2 linked regions of the Oryzias latipes genome follow. Each later gene encodes a partner of the first gene's protein in a complex. Links are inferred from orthologs where the notes say so. Each region holds a gene or a part of one and is shown on either strand. Other genes may lie near its edges.

The links.
Region 2: gtf2f1 (region 1) and polr2g share a complex: the UniProt entries of both Homo sapiens proteins name them as parts of the TBP-based Pol II pre-initiation complex. The link is inferred for Oryzias latipes from reciprocal best matches to the Homo sapiens genes GTF2F1 and POLR2G.

The regions. Positions count from the first base shown.
Region 1 is NC_019866.2:14,106,005-14,110,510, forward strand, and holds the start of gtf2f1 (general transcription factor IIF subunit 1), read left to right. Parts: upstream 1-1,676; 5' UTR 1,677-1,943; intron 1,944-2,169; 5' UTR 2,170-2,214; coding exon 2,215-2,226; intron 2,227-2,527; coding exon 2,528-2,574; intron 2,575-2,753; coding exon 2,754-2,826; intron 2,827-3,166; coding exon 3,167-3,360; intron 3,361-3,676; coding exon 3,677-3,847; intron 3,848-3,918; coding exon 3,919-4,124; intron 4,125-4,236; coding exon 4,237-4,387; intron 4,388-4,506. UniProt on the Homo sapiens protein: TFIIF is a general transcription initiation factor that binds to RNA polymerase II and helps to recruit it to the initiation complex in collaboration with TFIIB. It promotes transcription elongation.
Region 2 is NC_019868.2:13,737,451-13,741,931, reverse strand, and holds the start of polr2g (DNA-directed RNA polymerase II subunit RPB7), read left to right. Parts: upstream 1-1,542; 5' UTR 1,543-1,781; coding exon 1,782-1,793; intron 1,794-2,041; coding exon 2,042-2,151; intron 2,152-2,321; coding exon 2,322-2,481; intron 2,482-2,659; coding exon 2,660-2,710; intron 2,711-2,819; coding exon 2,820-2,885; intron 2,886-3,022; coding exon 3,023-3,094; intron 3,095-3,717; coding exon 3,718-3,751; intron 3,752-4,481. Other genes in the region: uncharacterized protein LOC101155778, read right to left, coding at 644-743, 835-1,002, 1,076-1,144. UniProt on the Homo sapiens protein: Core component of RNA polymerase II (Pol II), a DNA-dependent RNA polymerase which synthesizes mRNA precursors and many functional non-coding RNAs using the four ribonucleoside triphosphates as substrates.

The sequences.
Region 1 (4,506 bases):
AAATAGATTGTTTGATTATATATTTGCACAAGATCATATTTATTTATTTATTAAGAACAGTTTAGGGCTCCATACTCTTCAGCCGCTGTTTATGGAAAAAAAGGGGTTATGCAGACACTGTTTTTTAAATTACTTTACATGCCACATGAGGGGATGTGGATGCTGCACCTCCTCCAATACTTTTTGATACTTTTTGAGAGCAGAAGAAAATGTTGGCTGACACGGAACTGTGCAAAACATCCTCATTATGTAGAACCAAAACTGCGAAATACAAATGAGAAAGAAATGTACCTATTTATAAATAATAAATGTGAATAATAATTTGAGTATAAATGGAAATATAAGCATTTATACACTTCTTATTCTATTATTTTGTATGTTCATAATTTTAAAATGAGTACATTTATTTTATTTGTCATTAATAAATTAGAACCTTTATTTCCTACTTGTATTTGGCAGTTTTGATTCTCCATATTCCATGCCAATGCAAGATTTTAAGACACATTGTTGAAAAAGTCAGACTACCAGACTGTCTATAACAGATAAACAGCAGTTTCTATACTGACGTAAACCGGAAAATGCAGAACGCACTAAATATGTGTTAGCAAAACAATTAAACAATACAATAACGTGAGTTAAACATTTATCAGCCATCACCGTTGTCGTTATTTAATCTTCTCTTCGCCGTTTTGGAAGGTCCTGTCTGACCTCATCCAGGAAACTTGGGTATCAGAATTATTTTAGAGTTTTCCATTGGAAATTACAACAAACGGGGTCGTTTATGTGCAAACTTCACCTGTCTTTCTAACTTTACCGAACTTCGGATCAATTAGTATTTTAAATCGCGAATGCACAGAAATACTGGATAATGTAAAAAATATGGCCCCATCATCCTCCAAACTTACCTTGTGATTGATGCTGAAGTTGTTCATCTTTTTTCAGCTCCTGATGGATAAAGTCTCTTTGGCATGAAGTGCTCTTGTTGTCGCTTTGATCAGCGTGACAAAATGAGCTATTTTTTTTTCTTTTCTCAACTTTATTGAAACAAAATGCGCTCGTAAATGCACACTGTGCCAGGCTCAGATGCAGTGATGTTGGCCAATCGTTGCTGAGAGTGGCGTAACGTCATTATTTGGGTTGCCAGATTGGTTCAGGTTTGTTGACAAGGGGGATCATTAAAGTGCAGCCAACTTTCTTTTGCACAACATTCACAGCTATGAAATAGGTTGCCAGATTTGGGTCTTTTTTTTATTTTATTTTTTCGCCACTTCGGGGCCCTGGTGATGTGGGGGCCCTACGCGGCTGCGTAATTCGCGTATAGGGAGGGCCGGCCATGATCACAGATTAATTGTCAAATTGTAAAAATTGTGAATGGCATTTACACTTTCCTTTCCTTACATTCAGGTGCACTCAAGCATAATCGGCTCTTAACACTGTGTTCACAGCCTAATCATTATTTTTTAAAGGAAACAATTAATTTAATTACTTTTTTAAATAATGTTTTACTTTTTTAATAAAGTTTTTATAAATTTTAAACTACATTTCAGGGAAACAAATTTAATTTATATGTTTTTCTTTGTTGGTAAGTCTGTTTTTACTTATTAGTTTGATTTTTTTTTCTTTCATTCCAGTTACTGTCTGCATTTTCAATAGGAACTATTTGTGACGTGCCAAGGTTTCCTGTCGACCGTAAAAAGTGACGGAACGATTACGCTGCAACAACGCGCACCTCACCGGTACACCAGTAGTAGTGTTTTACTCTCGGAGATGCGGGGCTTTTTCTTTTAAAAAAAACAACAACACTATTTTTGTATTTCATTTTCCTTTTATGCATCTTCACTCGGTCTGAAGTTGGACTAAAACGACCATATGAGCTCGTTTATCGTGCTGGAGATCTAATGATCTAATCAGAGCTAACCATTGAAATCTCTACGACCGGGTTGGTGAGACTCAGCATTCATTGTTATTTTCTTTCACAATAAAACCAGTTTTCGGTGATTGTTTGCTTTCGAACATTTGTTTTTTTCTAACCCGTCTATAAAACTAGTTTTGTAATAAACGTAATCATATTTTTACACATTATGAAAATGGCCGACATGATCATGTTGCACTAAACATTAGTGAAATACCTGCTAAAATGTCCTTTCTTTTTCTGTAAACCCTTAATAGCTCCAGTGAAGTGTTGGCAAATCCAGAAGTTGTTGATAAACAATCATGACATCTCTGGTAAGTTCTGACTTTTTTTTAATGATTATTTTTATTATTATTAACATGTAAAATGTTTTCGTTTCATTTAAGCTATTTTAGCCCGGCAGCTTCCGGTTACAGCAGGAAAGAAAACTTTATTAATCTGCGCTACAGAAGACAATGTTACACGAATTTATCAGTGGAGACTAATTGTAAAGCCTGAGTTGCATGCAGGCAAAAACTCATTCAATCAGAAGGTCGCTGATCTTATAGCAAAACCTTTTTTTAATAGAAATTCCACATTATTTGTTTGTTTGTTTGTTTGTTTACCATCTTCCAGGGGGGCAGCAGTGCTTCGACTACAGAATACACAGTGAGAGTCCCCAAGTGAGTAAATGAAAGCAGTAATGTGTTAGTAATGTTGACCATAACACAGAAATGACACCGTTATCCTTTGAAATAGTAATGTTTTGCATCATTCTGCCCTAAATTTGTCAACGTGTTACTTGACTCCGCCTTGCAAAAACAACTCTTTTTATTTTTTTATTTATTTTCTTGCCCCATAGAAATACAAGCAAGAAGTACAACATCATGGCTTTTAATTCTGGAGACAAAGTCAACTGTTCGGCCTGGACACAGGTGGGCTTCATGTCTTCTTTTTTGCTCCAGTAAAGTAAATCTATATTTTAAATTTGGTTATAATTAAAAACAATAAGATCTCTTAAAACATCCTTAGGAATTCAGAAATTTGTGACAAAATACAAGGGAGTACGGATTAATAAAGCAACTGCGTTTTATGACATATGTGGTACTAATGATGTTTTTTTAAATGTATTTTTTGTATTGAAATGTGGTGCCTCTTGGCCAGGTCTCCCTTGGAAACGAGATTTCTAATCTCGATGGGACTTCCCTTGTTTGATAAAAGTTCTAAAAAAAAAAAAGGTATTAAGTTAAATATCCTGCTTTGTCACTCCCCCAGGCTCGCATGGAACGCGACCTGAGTGCTCGGCGAATATATGGCGAGGAGGAGTTACCAGAGGGAGGGGCAGGGAGCGAGTTTGGCAAAAAGCAGCGCGAGGAAGCGCGGCGGAAGAAGTATGGCATTGTGACCAGAGAGTTCAAGGTGGAGGATCAGCCGTGGATTTTAAAGGTCAACGGAAAAGCAGGAAAAAGGTAAAGCGATAAATGTTTCTATTTTTGAAACTTAAGTACATTTTTTTTTTTTAATTTACCTGCAGGCTTTCTTGAAGTTATGACTTTTTTTTCTTCAAATAAAGAAAATCAATAAACCATATTTATTTAACCGTTGTAGAAAATGAGCAAATACGTCTTCGTACTGAGTAAGATTTGGTGTAATCCTCACCAATTTTTAACAAAATCTGTTGGTGTGTTTTTTATTTTTCCTAAAATGTTTATTGCAGCAAGATTCTCCTATGATTCCAGTTCTACAATCTTCAGTCTGGCTATAATATTTGTCTTTCTGCATCAGGTTCAAAGGTATAAAGAAGGGCGGCGTGACAGAAAATGCATCCTACTACATCTTTACGCAGTGTCCTGATGGAGCCTTCGAGGCTTTCCCCGTTCACGGCTGGTACAACTTCACGCCGGTGGCGAAGCACCGAACTCTGACTGCAGAGGAAGCTGAGGAGGAGTGGGGCAGGTTAGCAGAGCAGCAAGCTGGACTTGGAGAATGCCTTTTGTGTTTTAAAAGTCATTTCCTTCTTTGTCCAGGCGGAACAAGGTGGTGAATCACTTCAGCATCATGCTTCAGAGACGCCTCCGGGAACAGGAGCGGGGCGAGGAGGATGACGATGACGCCGACAAACCCGGAAAGAAGAAAAAGAAAGGGGGCGGGAAGGGTGGAGATTTGCGAATTCATGATCTGGATGAAGACCTGGAGATGAGCAGCGACGACAGCGACAACAGCATGGGAGATGGTAAGGATCCATGCAGCAGGCTCCAGAACTGTCAGGGCGCTCAGCCCCTTCCTCCAAACGTCTGTCAGCTCATTTTCCTCACCTGCAGCTTCCGTCTCTTCTTCGTTTGCAGATGGAGAAAACAAAGCAAAGGCAAAGAAAGACAAAGCCAAAGGGAAAGCAAAGAAAAAGAAACAAAAGAGCAATGAGAAGGATGCCCTGGAAGACAGCGATGATGGAGACTATGAGGGTCTAGAGGTGGATTATATGTCAGATGAAAGCAGGTGGGCTCCTCAGCGTATTTACCACATATACATATTAAAGAAAGAACATGTTTTTATTTGGTCTTTTTAGAAGAACAAGTCTGCATTTTTGATTTTCTACGTTCTTTGAATTCAAACTA
Region 2 (4,481 bases), on another chromosome or scaffold:
GTTATAACAAATAAATAATGAGTTATTTAACATTAAGGAGTAGTTACATTTATTTTTCATTACATTTAGTTACATGTATAAGTTATATCTGGCCCTTTGAGGACAACCACTATGCTGAAGTGGCCCTCAGTGAAAATGAGTTTGACACCTCTGGGTTAAATCTCACTCCAACCATCTTTTGATCCAATTTTAAAGTGTTACCGCTGGTCTTTTTATTATGATTATGTCATTTTTAGCCAAAATCAAAAACCTGTGTCGTTTTCTAGGACATATGTTCTGCACATCGGCAGCAGCTCATGAGAAATTCATCTGGGTTGTTGGCGGGATTCTAGGCACGGAGTAAGCCCGCCCCCACTTCCCGTCACCAATCTGTTTACACTAGCCTACAGCCCCTCACAAGCCCAACCTAACATAAGTGGTGCAACTAAAACGGCGAGCTATCCAGCCGTACAGTTTTGAGCCAAATACCAGCTGGGATGAGGAAAACAGAGACGGACATGGATCTGTCTGCAAGTGAACGGAGCGGAGCAGGAACTGCAGTTTGAACGTGTGTGTGTGTGTGTGTGTGTGTGTGTGTGTCAGAGTCTCTGAATTCATCTTCACGTCCTTCCAAAATAAGGGGTAATTTAAAGGCAACACCCACCTGTATCTTTATTCATTAACTCATTGTAGTAGGCGAAGAAGGCTCTGAACTCAGCTGGTCTATGAGACAGGACTTTGAAGACATTGGGCAAAAAACCTCCCTGTGAGAAGCAAAACATAGAAAGAAAGATGTACATTTTCACAGTGTAAACCTTAATTTAAACGTCGAATTCGTTATTTGTGAGCGTTTACCTTTGCCTCAACCTCTTCCATAAGCTCCACTATGTCATAAGGGAGGTTTTTTCTGTAGGGAATCGGGTAACGACTTATTTTCTCCGGTGGACCGCCGCTGGAGGATTGTCTGGTCGCCGCTGATCCGCCAGATCTCCCCTGGAGTAAGAGGCTTGACGCGGGCGGAGCCTTAGTGGACACCGAAGGAATCAGCAACAAGCACGACTCAACAAACACCACACAAGACTTTTCAACTACTCACAGCTTGAGTTAGTAAGGACGACCGAAACAACAACTTGGAGACGAGTTTGCCTGCCATGTCACTCCACATCAATGCAGACCGCTTTTTTGTGGTTGGTTTACGCTTTTTAGTCGCCTCAAATACTCCAGGGCTTTCCTAAAATTATTTACTTTAAAAAATAAAAATCTCACACATTACTATCTACAGATATTATAATTCGAAAAAGCTACAGTTGAATGCCGTCCAAACATGAGCCTTGTTTGGGGTGATTTCCCGTCGCGTGTGGCCACACAGACGCTATTTAGCTTTGTGTTTGTCAGATCTTAAATCGGTTGAAATCATCCAATGAATAAGCTCCGCTGAGTGACGCCTGTTCTTTAGTACGCCCTGTTGCGTCGGCTCCTCCTCGCCAGTAGGGGGCAGCAGTCATGAGTGCTGAACATGGTCTGAGGTAACCTTTCTTAAAAATACAAATTCAAAGTTATAACCACACATTTGATTTTCACGATATACATTTTACATTCTGTGGGTTTTATATATTAACAATACAAGGGTGCCATTTCTTCTCTTTTAAAACAATGAAAGGGCAACTATCTCATGTGACCCGGAAGAGATCGTTTTGACACACCGATGCCTTCATGCTAGCTGTTTTAGCATAAGGGAAACACAATTTGGACAAAACAGTGCAAAACAATCAAAGAAAGAATCTACATCTATATACAACAATATGTTTTATCATGTAAGTACTTGAACTTTTCCACCCCTTATGAGAGTATTAATAGATATGAAGGGAGGTTTTCGTCTTCGGTTTTTGCGCGATAATGAGGCGGCTTCACACAACTTTTTTCAAATCCCTTTTACCAAATATATCAGCGAAGTTTTATCTTCCATTGTTTGGATCGGCTTGTAACAGCAATGTTATTTGGAAAGTTTTTCCTCTTAAGTTAGCACGATCATAACCACGCCATGATCATGATGTGTTTACAGATTTCTTTGGAACATGAAATCTTACTACATCCACGGTATTTTGGTCCAAATCTGCTCAACACAGTGAAACAGAAACTCTTCACGGAAGTGGAAGGTACCTGCACTGGCAAGTGAGTAACAGCTAATCATAAATAAGTGCATAAGTGTGATTACTTTGTAAGTTTCTAGTCTGTCCTGAAAATAACAAGCATTTGCATTCACTTTTCTGTAATGCTGGTTTGTATAAAAAAGCTTAGAACTGCATCCCTACAGTATTTCCTGCTTGTGTCCCTTCTCCCAGGTATGGTTTTGTCATTGCTGTCACTACTATTGACAACATTGGGGCAGGTGTGATCCAGCCAGGTAGAGGTTTTGTACTCTATCCAGTCAAGTACAAGGCCATTGTGTTCCGCCCATTCAAAGGAGAAGTGGTGGATGCTGTGGTCACGCAGGTTAACAAGGTAAGGACCCATAAGTACCTGTTGTAGGCCTTTCTAAGATGTTTGCCATGGAATAGATCCTTTTGTTGAACGCTTGTTTTTCACATGGAAAACGTAGATTCATGAATTGTTTTTCTGAATTCCAGTCTCTTTAAATACATTTTCTATCCTCCTTTAACAAAATTTGGGTTCTTTGCAGGTTGGCTTGTTCACAGAAATTGGTCCCATGTCCTGCTTCATTTCTCGCCATGTAAGTTTATGTAACATTTAACACTTTACTATATATATATCTTGACCTAATATGTAGGTATGTTTTTATATTATTGTTTGTGTATTTTATTGTTTTTTTATTCTCCCAGTCGATCCCTTCAGAAATGGAATTTGATCCCAACTCCAATCCACCTTGCTATAAAACAGTTGACGAGGTATGTGTCATTACTCTGTCTGTTTTATGCAATAGTAGATTTAGCATGCAGAGACATTGAAGGCTACTTTTCTCTTTCAGTTTTTAATCCTTGTGATACATTTGATTTTAATGAACATTTCTTATTGTGTTTATTAGGACATTGTAATCCAGCAAGATGATGAGATTCGACTGAAGATTGTGGGAACACGAGTGGACAAGAATGACATTGTAAGTTTTTTCCATAAATATTATTTTTGATCTTTTGACCAGTAGCGACACAGATCCATTAACATCTTCATTTTCCTTGACTGAGCTGCCAGGACTGGATAGCTCCAAAAATTCCTCGCACTATTGTCATCTTGGGGCTGTAAGCTAGTGGGAAAGAGTGTAGACGGAGGATTGATACGAAATTAGCGCAGGATTACTTTGCACCAATAGTCCCGCTGACAACTCAGAGGTGAATCTCTGATGAAGGTTCCTACCATTCGGCAGAAACTATGTCCCAGAGAACATCACAGTTTTTTGTTGTTTTTTTTGGCCAAAAGCAGCACAATCCTAATGAAAAGACCACTGGGAACAATTTAACAATAGATCAAAAGATGATTGGATTGGGACTTTAGGTCCATATGGATTCTTGTAATGTTCCTTTCTTTGACTTTCTGGTGTTTTTTCAAACCATTTAAAAGAAGAACAACAAGCTTAGTTTGAATACAGCAGGATCTGGTTTGACAGTTAGTCAAAAGCCTGATTACAATAAAAGCAACCTCACTAAAACATCTGCTTGTCGAAATACCCATGTAAAGAATTGTGCAAAACTATTCATTGAAACAAGTTTCCTCTTTGTTTTCTAGTTTGCCATCGGATCTCTGATGGATGATTATTTGGGTGAGTATTAAATGTCAAGTCAGAATTATTTTTTTTTTTTTTTCAATCAAACAACAACATAACTAGACGATGATGATCTTTATATAAAAAGAACACATACTTTAGAATCTAAAATATGTTTGGTTACTATTTTAAATTAAAATTTATTTTCATTCGTGTTGTATTATTTTTCTTAACTGTCATCAAATTCATTCAGTGCCAGCATTTGGAAATTCTAATATTCAAACATACGTACAACATTTTATACACTGAAGTTTAGGATTTAGTTTTACATGAAGGACCTTCTTAAAATGATCTTCAACTTCCTTTATCTCACAAAATAGATAACTTATTAATTCTTCCAAATATTCAGTGATTCTTTACCATAAACAGTACATTTTCAACGCAATTGATACCTCACAGTATACAATTGTCATTTGTTTTAGTACAGTTTTCAATGCAGTATTATGATTTAATGGTAACATTTGGTCAATAATATTTTCATATTTTTAAATCACAGTGATTATTATTTGAAAAGGTATTACTCAGAAAGTAAATCTGTCAGATTTCAGTTTGTAAATTGCATATAAATGGCATTAATAAGCAATAAAATATTGTCCAAATGTAAGAGAAGAATTCAAAATAAATTTCACGAAAGAGGCTGCTCTTCTTGTTAAATAAAACGGACCAAAACTCATTGAATATGCATAATCATGCTTAAGTGATATAGGTCATAAATCAAATTATTTTT